2 linked regions of the Cricetulus griseus genome follow. The protein of the gene in region 1 purifies or fractionates together with the protein of each later gene. This does not show direct contact. Links are inferred from orthologs where the notes say so. Each region holds a gene or a part of one and is shown on either strand. Other genes may lie near its edges. The genes, in order: Swsap1 and Spidr.

Region 1 (6,293 bases):
CGAGTGCCAGGATAGGCTCCAAAGCTACACAGAGAAACCCTGTCTCGAAAAACCAAATAAATAAGTAAATAAATAAATAAAATATGAGGGGAGACTGGAGACATAGCTCAGTAGTGAACCCTGGTCTTGCAGAGAAGCTGGTTGCAGTTTTCAGAACTCACATGGTAGCTCAGTCCTAGGGGCTCTGGTGCCCTCTTCTGACTTCTGAGGGCACCACACTCACGTGGTGCACATAAGAAATGCGGGCAAACACTTATAGGAATAATAAATAAATAAATAAAAATGTTTTAAGTGAGGGGAAAAAAGGGGGGCAGGTCTGTCTGTATGTATGTATGTACCTCAGGGTTAAAATGCTTACTTAGCTTTAACATAGGTGGAGCCCTATGTTCAAGCCCCAGTGCTGAAGGAAAGAAAGGAAGAAAAAGACGAAACCAAACAAACAAGCAAAAACAGAGCTAGATAGAGCCCCTAGAAACAACTCTTCTGGGCATGAAGCAAGAAGTGCCTGTGCTCAGTGTGCTCCTGTGACCTGGGGCTTGTGCGCCTTATGCTTTGTAGTGTCGGGCTGTGTGTCTGCGATGGGGGTGGGAGACTAAAGCAGCATGCTTCACAGAGCAGTGTAACAGTGTGCCAAGGACATATGTGTACAGAATGCCAATCACATAGTCATCTCAGTGTGTGTGTGTGTGTGTGTGTGTGTGTGTGTGTGCACGCCCATGCGTGCAAGGTATAGGGGTGTCCAGCTGTGTGTGTGGGTGTAATGGGGGATGTTGTGGAGCTGTTTTCTGTCCCCAGAAGGAGAGAGGAGTAAACTCAGGAAATCACAGTTCCGCCCTGCTCCTGGGTCTCCAGGCAACCATACCACTTTGAAGTTACTAGGAGACAAGGTTTCTAGGGAAACACAGGCTTGAGTGACAGCTCTAGAGCCAAGTCTGGGTGAAGAGACTGAGCAATGGGATCTTGGTTCTCATTAATTCTTCCTTCCTTCATTCAATGATTTAACAAGAATTACAGTTCTCAGGGCTAGAGAGATGGCTCTGTGGTTAAGAACACTGACACCCTCACACAAACATACAGGCAAAACATGCAGGCAAAACAACAATGCACATAAAATAAAAATAAATAAAAGAATTGCAATTCTACGGTGTGGACAGCAGATTCTCATGAAGAAGCATCTAAGGCCCTCGTTCTCTTGCACAACTTGTCCTCTCCAGTATTTCTCAATAGAAGCAATGTTCTCTCTCCCATAAACACAAGCAAGCATTAAGACGGTCCTAGGCCAAGGAGAAAGGCAGATGGCAGGCACCTTTAAGAGCCCTCATAGAGGGAGCCTGGGAGAAGGCTCGGTATGGAAAGTGCTAGCAGTGTAGGCATGAGGGTTGTGTAAATACCAGACACATTATCAGTATCATGGTGGGGCTGTGATGAGCTTTTGGGGGTGGAGACAGGAGGATCCCCAGAAGCTCTGGGGCCAGCCAGACTGATCTACACAGCAGTGAACATGCACTGCCTCCAATGAGATGGAAGACAAGGACTGACCTCCACACACCTGGGGTGGCACAGTCCTGCCTGCACACACATAAAGATTTTTTAAAATTAAAACAGAAATCAGGGTCAGTGAGATGCCTGAGGGTTCTTGCCACCAATCCTGAAGATCTTTCATCCTGGGAACCCACACAGTAGGAGAGAAAGAACCGCATCCCATCTCTGAACACATGCACACCGTGTCATGGGAGTACATACACATACACCAACATCCCTCATTGAGGGCTAGGGATGAGGCAGTGTGGTGAGTGCTTGCTTAACACGTACAAACCCTGGGTTTGATCCCCAGCCCTGCATTAACTTGGCATGGTAGCATAAGACATCTTCAGAGTTCCAGGAAATGTAAAATGATTGGCACCCTATCAAAAGAAAAAATCTGAGTCCCAAATCTGTAGCCCATATAAACATATTCCCATATCCAAGCAAGGAGAGACAAGCGAACAGCTGTCCCTTTCCATCTGTGAACTGTCCTTCGGCGATATTAGCGGATATTCACACCAACACACTGCAATGACCCCAAGGGATCACAACACTCGTTTTGCTGGTGGGCAAGCTGAGGTTAGGAGTCTGGTTTTTATTATTTATTTTAAGACAGGAGCTCATGTAGCCCAGGCTGGCCGAAAACTTCAATATGTAGCTAAGGGTGACCTACAGTTTTTTGTTTGCTTGTTTGTTTGTTAAGATTTATTTTTACGCAGGGTGTGTGTGTGTGTGTGTGTGTGTGTGTGTGTGTGTGTGTGTGTGTGTGTGTGTACGCGCACGCGGGTATGTATGTGTGTCTCGTGCCCGCGGAGGCCAGAAGAAGGCGTCGGATCTCTAGGAACTGGCGTTAAGGACGCTTGCAAATCACCCTGTAGGAAGTGGGAACCGAACCCAGGTCTTTTGGAAGAGCAGCTGGTGCCCTTCACGGCTAGGCGTCTCTGGGGAGCGCGTTTGCACCCTCGACCTTTCTTTTAATCTGATCACGCGGCTTCCGGCAGCAGATTCCCTCACGCACCACTTTGCTCCATGTCCCGTGTTTTGACCATTTACGACAGCTCCAGAGACCGAAAGTGACGCTGCGAACTATAGCCAATGAAACATCGGTGTGGGCGGGCCCGGGAGGAGGACGCATCCCTGATTGGTCAGCGGTACTCGGCAAATGGCGGAGGCGCTGAGGCGGGTGCTGAATGAAGGCCGCGCGGCAGGGCCCGGGGAGGAGGGAGCTCCGGGTCCGCCATTGCTGCTGCTAGGCGCTCCGCGCTCCGCGCAGACTTCGCTGCTGTTTGCGGCCGCCCTCGAGGCGGCAGGGGAAGGCCGCGGGCCTGTCCTCTTCATGACACGAAGGCCGCTTCAGAGCCTGCCGCTCAATACACCCGCAGCGCGGAACCCCTGGCGGCTCCAGGTAACCGGAGGGCCGGATCTGGAACGTGTCGCCCAATGGCAAGAGAGGTGGTGCATGAGTGACAGGTCGGCAGGCCAATGGCGCGTCAGAAGGCCTACGGGGACGAAGTGGGTGGAGGAGGCGGGTAGCCGCACGGGGCGGGGCAGTGCGGGTTTAGTTAAGAGTGAATGAAAGGCCGTCCTATGATCGCTCGGCATTAGCGGGCGTGGGCGCCAAGGAGGTGGAGTCTAAAGTGGAGTTAGTTTCCCTTGGAAGCACGCGTTCTCTCTCCCAACAACAATAAAATAGAGCTCTCAGCTAGCATGCATGAAGCCCTGGGTTTCGTTCCTCTAACCCGGCATGGCAATGCACGCCTGTGATTCAGTTCTCAAGAGGTGGTTTCAGAAGGGTCAGGCCATCCGGCTACATCACGAGTTTTCAGTCATCCTGGCTTACATGAGACCCTGTGTCAAAGAAAAAAAAAGAATCTTAACTAAAATGATTTTGGGCAGTGATACAAGCTGGAAAAGGACAGGTGACAAAGAAGGACAAAGAATATCTGAGCTGGTGCTTCATCCTCGAAATTTATATATGGGGCTCGACTGGGAAAATATGGAAGAGTCATGGCAGCCATAGTAGGGAGCCTTGGCCTCCTATGTTAAATCTTGCCTTTTCCTGTCTTCTAGAAGGTTCGATTCCAGTACCCATCCTCAGTTCCAGAGCTTCTCCAGCTTCTGGCCTCTGCCCATGAGACCCCAGGGCCTGCCCCGTCCCTTCTACTGCTAGATGGCCTGGAAGAATATCTAGCTGAAGACTCAGGGGTCCAGGAAGCCGCCTACTTAGCTGCATTGCTTCTGGATACTGCTGCCTACTTTAGCCACCGTCTTGGAGCCAATGGCAGCTGTGGGCTTGTGGTGGCCCTAGAGACCCAAAAAGAAGAAGACAATGATGCCCCACATCTGACATTGCTTCAACGGTATTTTCCTGCACTGTGCTGGCTGCAGCCAGATGCCCTAGACTTGGGACAGCACCATTGCCTGCGGGCCAGCCTGGAGTTGGGCAAGCTGAGCCCCAGGACGGAGTGGTCAGTGACCTTCTTACCTAGTGGAGAGATGAAGATCATCCCATGGCCTACCCAGGCTTCTAAGCCCAGCCCAGATAAAAAGTGTTCAAGTGCTGAAAGCCAGTCATTAACTCTGGAATGTGGCAACCTCTCTGACCCTCAGTTTCCCTTGGATAGAATACTTCCTTCAGGGACAGGTTCGGAATCAAAGACCTGGAAAATGTAGCATTGCTGAGCTGGGCTTGCAAGATGGCTCAGTAGATAAGGGGCCTTTCCAATAAGCATGATTACCTGGCTTTGATTCCCAGCATCCATAAGGTAGAAAGCTAGAACTGACTCCTGCAAGTTGTCTTCCGGCCTCCACATTTGGGTAGAAGCACACACATGCCCTCCACACAAATAGTAATAATAATAAATAGAACCTTTAAAATAAATAAATAAATATAATCATCTGAGGTTTCCTAGTTCATTTCTTCTTACTTATTGTGTTCTTTTCCCACAGGATCACGTGTAGCTCAGGCTAGCCTCAGACCAAATACTTAGCTGAGGCTATTCTTGAACTCCTGACCCTCCAGGCTCATCCCTTGTGGGCAGGGCATATGGAGTGTGCTTCCACACTTGGCTTCTTCTGTGTACTCTATGGTGCCTGCATATGAGTTACCTCTGTGTCTTGGCTTACATTACTGTTAGGGAGTCTAATCACATACACATACATGACCTTGCACATGTGTTTAGGGTATACGGTTGGAAGTAGAATCACTCTGTACAGAGTATGCACAGATTTAGCTTTTTTAGGACATAACATTTTTCAAGCCATTAAACTGAGTTTGAGCGTGGTGTTTTGCAAAATGGTAAGCCCAGCTTTGGGATGTAGAGATAGGAAGTCACAATGCAAGGTTATCCTTGGCTACTTAAGGTGTTGGAAGCCACTCTGTCCTACACTAGACCCTGTCAGAAAAAAAAAAAAAAAGGGCTAGGCCTTTAATCCTAGCACAGGGCCAGCCTGATCTATACGGAATGTTCCAGGCCAACCAGGGCTACAAAGTGAGACCATGTCTCAAAGTCAATCAAAAAACTAGGGAGCTGGAGAGAGGGCTCAATGGTTAAGAATTCTCTCATAGGACCTAGTTTCAGTTCCCAGCATCCATGTCAGACACAACCACTTGTAATTACAGCTCCAGGGGATCTAATGCTCTCTTTTGGCCTTCTTGGGCACCGACATGAAGTGGTGAACATACATATATAGAAACAGAACACTCATAACATGAAATGAAAGTACATAAATCTTTTAAAAGAAAGAAAGGAAGGAAGGAAGAAAACCCAAAAATCCGTCTTGGAGGTAAGCCCAACACCAGGGTGTTGTAAAGGGAGGTGAATAATCCATCCTGCAATGGGAGCCCCGTAAGCTTGGGAAGTGAACAACTCAAAGGCTTCGGGAAGTCCCTGAAACTCTCAGACAAGCTGAGCTCTACAATCTGTGGAGCTGTCTGCAGCCTGTGTAGTGTGCTCCAGGTTCCCAGTTTTGGTGAGATGTCACCCATTTTGGGGTGGGATTTGGCTATGCAGCCATCTGAGTCATTTCCACTTTCATAAGTAATCCCTTACCCATATTTCTGAGCATACACCAATAACTCATTGATTCATCAAATTGGACTTTGGTGGCACTCTACTTTGGTCTGTCATCAGATTTCTATTCCGGGTGAGTGGATGTTAGTTCACAACCCCAGAAGCAGTGTCACAGAGCATTGGATAAGACACTAAGTTTCAGGTGGGTGTGTTGGCAGCTAGTCAAATGTGCACTGACTGTGGTGATCCCTCTTCACGTTGCCAGATCCAAACTTCCAATCTTAGCTCAAAAACTTCAGCTGTGTTTTCCCATAGTCTAGATCCAGGAAAGATGGGAATTGAGGGTATTTACTGAGGTCCTGGAAGAGGGCAGAGTCCCTACCTACCATGTATGAATCTCGAGTTCAATCCCCAGCACTGTATTAGCTCAGTGTGATGGAACAAGCCTGGAGTCCCAGCACTTGAGTTCAAGGTCACCTTCAGCTACCATGTGACAAAATAACTAAAATATGGACTAGTAAAGGCATTTCCCATGCAAGCCTAAAGACATGAGTTCCACATCCCTGGAACTTGTGCAAGAAACAAAAAACCTGGTTGTGGTGTGTGGTCTGATCCAGCATCCAAAGGCAAGATGGACAGAGATCAGAGAAACAACCAGAAGCATAAACACAAAGTATGGCAGGAACACAAGGCATTCTGCCTCCAGGTGGGAGGAGAATCAACTGCTATACATGAGTTGAGGCATACATGCACCCA
Region 2 (6,769 bases), about 61 Mb from region 1:
TCCTAGTCAGAGAGCTAGTACAATGTGTCAAACTTTCTCCCATGAAAGTCTAACTCCACAAATAAGGATTCTAGCCCTCCATTCTATTATTTTGCTTAAAAATGCTTATCAATAACTACCATGACCTCTTTCCACACACCAGCACCACCAGTGAGTTTCTGATTGGGCTTATGTGTCTGGGAATTCAGTGGGACTTTTCTACTGGCTGTATCAGTCATTATCCCCCTCCCAACTGAGATTATCCCCATGTCACTCTGTACTCTAGGACCAACTATTTATTTCAGTATTGCCTTTTAAGTACTAAGACTACAACCAACTTAACCAATCATCAGTCCATAGGACTACTGTAAAATGAACCAAAGATAAGTTTAGCTCTTTCCATGTTTTTTAATGGTATGTCTTTGATCAGTGTCTTAGTTAGGGTTTCTATTGCTATAAAGAGACACCATGACCACAGCAACTCTTATAAAGGAAAACATTTAATTGGGGTGGCTTACAGTTTCAGAAGTTTAGTCCATTATCATCATGGCATGACAGGGTAACATGCAGGCAGACATGGTAGAAGGAGCTCAGAGTCCTACATCTTGACCGGAAGGCAACAGGAAGTAGTTTGAGACACTGGGTGTAGCTTGAGCATATATGAGACCTCAAAGTCCACCTCTAGTGGCACTTCCTCCAACAAGGCCACACCTACTCCAACAAGCCACATCTCCTAATAGTGCCACTCCCTAGAGTTTATGGGGACCATTACATTCAAACTATCACAGTCAGTTTTGGTAAACATTCTTACTCATTTCCTAGCCCTCTAGACTCAAACACACAACAGAGTTCCATACTCAAACTTCTTTATGTATCTCCACGTAAGCCTAACATGAACCATCACTCCTTCCCTAAGGGAAAAACTATCAGCCATTAGAAAGTTCCATGAAACTCAGCTTTCTTTCTCCCTGCTGTTCTTATTGCCTAAAACTAACATTATTCTGTATAGAACTAAATCCTTCTAGAACAGTGAAACATTCTTACTGGTAGTTCCTCTCTCCTGCTTTCCTGAAAATCAAAAGCCATACTTCAATTCTAATGTAAGTATACACTCTGTTTAAATAATTTCTACCAAGTGACAGCCATCAAGCAAGAAACACTTATAAAAGGTCTGGAGATGAGAACCTGAAGTTGTGTTGGGAAAGATGTCCCGGCTAGTTTTATGTAAAGTTGATACAAGCTAGAGATATCTTAGAGGAGGGAACCTCCATAAGATCAAGTTGCAGGCAAACCTGTAGGGCAATTTCTTAATTGGTATAGATGGAGGAGAGCCCAGCCCATTGTGGGTGATGCTGTTCCTGGGCTGATGGGCTTGGGTTCTGTAAGAAAGTAGACTGAGCCGGGTGTTGGTGGCGCACGCCTTTAATCCCAGCACTCGGGAGGCAGAGGCAGGTGGATCTCTGTGAGTTCGAGGCCAGCCTGGTCTCCAGATCGAGTGCCAGGATAGGCTCCAAAGCTACACAGAGAAACCCTGTCTCGAAAAACCAAAAAAAAAAAAAAAAAAAAAAAAGAAAGAAAGAAAGTAGGCTGAGCAAGCCATGAGGAAGCAAGCCAGTAAGCAGCATCTCTCCATGGCCTCTGCATCAGCTTCTGCCTCCAGGTTCCTGCCCTGCTTGAGTTCCTATATTGATTTTTTGATGATAAACTGTAATGTGGAAATACAAGCTTAATAAACCCTTTCATCCCCAAGTTGCTTTAGTCATGGCATTTCATCACAGTAACAATAACCCTAAGACAAAGGGGGTCATCAGAAAAACACAATTTTCCTTATTTTTCTCTTACAGTCTTTAAATATCTCCCCTTGCTTCATTCTCTTTGAATGTGCTTATATTTTACTATAGCATATACATCTCCAGTGAGTATCATCAGTCTTTGGAAATATCTCTCAAGCTGTTATTTAGGTCAACAGTGTCTTGTCCAATACTCTATGAGCAGAAGTTAAAGAGCTGAAACTGATATTAAATCTGTGATCAGGGTAGTTCTCCATGTTTCTTCACACCTAGTATACTCACAAGCTTATCACATATTTACCAGTTATGGCAGTTGCTCTAGGGAGCATGAATTGGAGGCATCATTCCTAATCTTATAATGTTTATACTAATGAATCAAAAGTATAGACCAGCCGGGAAGAGTGGTGCACACCTTTAACCCTGGCACTCAGGAGGCAGAAGCAGGCAGATCTCTGTGAGTTCGAGGCCAGCCTTATTTGCAGAGTGAGTTCCAGGACAGTCAGGACTACACAGAGAAACACTATCTCAAAAAACAGAAGGGGAGGAAAAAAGAAAAGAATTAAACCTGGCCATATTATGGAAGGTGTAAAAGAGCATGAAGCATGAACACAAAGCAAGCAAGATCATGAGAGACAACCTGAGTGCTATGTACACAGGGCAAATCACTTAACCTCCTTAATCCATAAAAGAGACAAATAGTATTTTCTTCAAAGGAGTGGTGAGAGAATTAAATAAAGCTTTATTATGTGCCGGCTCACATTTGTAATCCCAGCAATGAGGAAGGAGGATGATCACTGCAGGTTTGAGGGCAGCCTCACCTACCTAAGTTCCAAACCAGCCAGAGCTATACATTGAGCCCTGCTCCCTCCTATCCCCCACAACAAAAAATTAAATCTCAGATGAAAGACAGGTGTGGTGGCACTTCATGGTACAGGCAGGATGAAGAGGTTCAAGGCCACCTTCACTTAATCATGAATTCAGGGCCAGCCTGTGTTACATGAGAGCCTGTCTCACTTGCTACTGAGAAAGTCTACTTCTCTGTTTTAAGCCACCCCATGGGAGGGGGAAGAGGGGGGAAAGAAAACTGAAACTTACCAACCACTACCTCAGCAAACTTGGGAGAAGACCCTGTGGGAATTCTTGAGCTAGAACCATAGGGCTAAGCTACACTCAGATTCCTGGCCTTTGGTAGCAATTCTGGTTGAAAAGTGCTTCAGTTTTGAGAAAATTTTGAAACAGCAACAACTAACACGACTACTGAAAAAAGTATTGAAACATAACAGAATGAAGAGGGCAGAAGTAAAAAGTCAAAAATACTAGATTATTAAATTAGGAAAACTGGTTAGGTGCTGGCAAGCTAAGAGAATGATGATTTCATAACATGCTGTGACTTGTCTATACAATAGTGGCAGTTCAAACCAATGCGTAAGTCTGCCCAAAACATGGATGGGCTGGAGAGATGGCTCAGCAGTTAAGAGCACTGACTGCTCTTCCAGAGGACCCAGATTCAATGCCAGCACCCACATGGCAGTTCGCAACTGTTAACTCCAGTTCCAGAGGACCTGGAACCTATGGCAAAACACTAATGAACATAAAATTTAAAAATAAAAGACTGTCCAGGAAAACTCTTAAAGTTGAGAAAAAGCGCAATGTCAAAATTTGGAGCAGGGCAGTAAGGAAAAGTAAATGAACACCTATGACATGGAATCAGGACTTCAGGGATGCTTAAGTAAATAAACACTGATGACAACGGTATCAATTGCTTCAATAATAAAGTAATTTATGGTAGATTTAACAACGTTGCAATTCCTTTTTTTACATTTTAATCTTTCTGATACTGAATTAGTTTTTAAGTTATACGTTATACATGCTTTTGGTCCCTAAATGAGCTACAAAGTTCGCAATGTGGTCTATCGGGTCTATTCGAGAAATAACAGTGATTAGGCAGTCGAGGCATTTATGTGGGATATTTTTGCAGCAAGTTTCTCCGTTAAAATGAAGGGCAGACCAAGAAATGAAGCACTGTTTGCTGTTTTAAATTTTGAGTATTATGAAACAACTGTGAGGAACTTTGAAAAGGCAAACTGTGGTCCAAGAGGAACACAAGGACGGAGCAGTGAAGAGAAGGTCCTTTCTCTTAAATGTCATCCACGTACAGCTCCTGCACGCCACGCCTACAGTAGTGTACACATCCGAGAAGCAACTCCTCTCAGGAAGTTTGGGCGGGAAAGCAAAGTGTGGTGAAAGATACCTGCTGTCTTGGTGTGTTAAGCAACAGAGTAAAACGGAGACGAATGAATTGCCAGACTCCAGCTAACACCCTCATTCCAGAGCGCGTTCCGTCCTCCCGGTCTGCCACCCACGCGCTCAGTTCCCGGGCTCCCGGGACCGCTCGGCGCAGACCCGAGGGGGAAGGACAGCCTGCCCCAGACCGACCGGCACAGCCCGCGCGTTCCCAGCACACTGGGCCAGGGCCAGCCACGAGAAGCCCACGGAGCCGCGCGCCCGGGCCTCGGCTTCCAGAGCGACAGCACAGCGTACCTTGGACCCGCCCGCGCCGCCACCTCCAGACATCTCCCACGCTCGCCGCCCTCCCCTGGCACTCCCCTCCCCTTCCGGAATCCATTCCCTCCGGAAGCCGCCCCTCGAGGACTCCGCCCCCTCCGAAACCCGCCCCTCCCGCGCTCCGCCCCATCCAGAAGCAGTCACTCTCACGCTCCGCCCCTCCCGGAAGTCCCGACTGAGGTGCCACAGGCTTAGGGTGAGCTATCTTCAAGTTTCGACGCCCGAGGGCGCTGCTCTCCTAGGCTGTTCCTTAAGCCCCTTGGGCAAGGCCTTAAGGCAGTTAGCAGGATCAAGATGTCATAGTTCAAATTGTGTTTTCTGCAGCAACAATGAACCATAAAATAAAAACCCCAAGTACATTAAGATTCAATAATAATTGTTAATTAGTAATTAAATGTTAGTAAGCCCGAGAAAATACTTCCCTAACTAATGAGGAAGAATTCACAAGTATCAAGAGCAAAGATTATCATTTTTAAAAAGATTTCAGGAACTCTAGTTGGATTTGTTACACAGATGATTTCACATACTATGGATCCGAGGTGACGTCAGAGAACTTACATTCTTTCTTCTAGAAGCTGGTTCAGGGATCGCTCTAATTTGGAAGAAGCGATCACTCCTTGGATGTTTTAAAGCACTTGAACATACTTGTCACTGGGTGCTTTGAGACTATTTCAAACCAACAGGAAGGACAGCTGGTACTTGAGTGGAAACTGGATTAACAGCAGAGCCTGTGAAGATTTCTATTGTCAAAAAGTACTAAATCATTCATTGTTGAGACTGTGTTGGCATGGGACTGGAGAGAAACTGGCTTAACCGAGGAAGACTCTAAAGACACACATTAAACAAAAATACTAAACAATTTGCATTGTTGAAAAGTGTTAGCATGGATAAAGGAAAGGATTCTCACAAAGTTGTGTTCACAGATGTATACAGAGTGGAGCTTAGAGCCGGAGGTGGTGACTCAAGTCTGTAGTCCAAAGATAGGCAGAGCCAGGGAAACAAGACCCTCACTAACCAATTAAAGAGACTGCTAAAAGTGAAGCAGTTTTTAATATGCCATTCTGCAAAAAGGGACTCCAGTGTAGGAAAAAAGAAAAAGGACAGAATGCTGGCATGCTGACTTGGCCCAAGACTTGTTTTTTTGTTTTGTTTTGTTATTGGTTTTTTTTTTTTTTTTGGTTTTTTGTTTTGTTTTGTTTTCTGTCTGTCTGTTTTGGTTTTTTGAGACAAGGTCTCTCTACATAGGCCTGGCTGTCTTAGAACTATGTAGACCAGGCGGGCCTCGAACTCACAGAGATTCTTCTGCTGCTGTCTCCCGAGTGCTCAGATTTTTGCTGTGTACTACCACACCTGGCAAGACAATTTTTTTAAAACTCCCTAGTTGCAAGAAATTCCTGCCCTCCTTTTCCCATTGACTGATACTTTAGAGAGTTACAGTCTTCGCATCCTTCTAGCATGGCACCTTTCCCAGGTTCCCCATCCTTCTGGTTCAGGATACAATGCCTTATCTAATGACTACTCCCTGACTTGAAAGTACCTTCATTTCTGATGTGGGCCCAGTCCCATAGCCTGCAGCCTTCCAGCCCTGGAGATCTGAGACAAGTGGACACCACCTGCCCAATGGGGAAGAAGGGGGTCCAGCATGTCCTACTTATCTGCAACCCTTTAACAAGCTCTAAGTGCACCTCATATTGAAAGTTTACTACAAGGATTTATTTCTAGCATTGAATTCAAGGTCAGCAATGGTGAGTTCAAGACTATCCTGGGCTATATGAAGATTAAAACTAAGTTTAGTTTCTTCTTCAAATGTACTTTTTTTTTGTCTTTCTAGGAATGTGTAGTCTTGCTGTTGCGTGTGTACTCACTCCATCTGTAGTCCTGATCCAATGTTAAGCTGTCACTTCCTCTTACAAAACTCTTTTTCACTGAGTGTTTCGGCTCAACTTTTGTAGCTACAGATTTGAATCTGAAGGGAACCTGCAGGAGCTACAGAAACACCTGCTGAAATACGTCGACTCTGTGTCTCATTGCAAAGAAGTGGACCACAGATATGTGGTTAGGAATACAAATATATAAAAATACAAATACAAAGAGTCTACTTTAAAACTTGAAGCACTCCCAAGAATGGGAGTGAGCTAGTGAGTTAGAAAAACAAAATGTGCTCCAAAAGCATGTGCCTGGAGGAGCCTCATGACTCTTTATCGGACATCCACATAATACCCTCTGCTCCAATATTGATATAATTTGGCCTTTCTTGAGCATACTCTGTTGTGTGAGACCAGGTGAGGGATGATTTCTTGCCTTCCTCTACCTATTGATTTCTTCTACATGTTAATATTGATACAGCTTTCTCTAGTCTGTAATCTCATGCCATAATTTTCTCCTGAAAGTTATGATCTCAAAAATCTTTTGAGGGAGCACAATTATGATGGGTC

What was found.
Region 2: the proteins of Swsap1 (region 1) and Spidr purify together in Homo sapiens (co-immunoprecipitation; 3 studies listed by BioGRID and IntAct, with this or other methods). This does not show direct contact. The link is inferred for Cricetulus griseus from reciprocal best matches to the Homo sapiens genes SWSAP1 and SPIDR.

The regions. Positions count from the first base shown.
Region 1 is NC_048597.1:134,850,175-134,856,467, forward strand, and holds Swsap1 (ATPase SWSAP1), read left to right. Parts: upstream 1-2,660; 5' UTR 2,661-2,686; coding exon 2,687-2,929; intron 2,930-3,594; coding exon 3,595-4,197; 3' UTR 4,198-4,426; downstream 4,427-6,293. UniProt on the Homo sapiens protein: ATPase which is preferentially stimulated by single-stranded DNA and is involved in homologous recombination repair (HRR). Has a DNA-binding activity which is independent of its ATPase activity.
Region 2 is NC_048597.1:73,354,373-73,361,141, reverse strand, and holds the start of Spidr (DNA repair-scaffolding protein), read right to left. Parts: upstream 4,304-6,769; 5' UTR 4,096-4,303; coding exon 4,021-4,095; intron 1-4,020. UniProt on the Homo sapiens protein: Plays a role in DNA double-strand break (DBS) repair via homologous recombination (HR).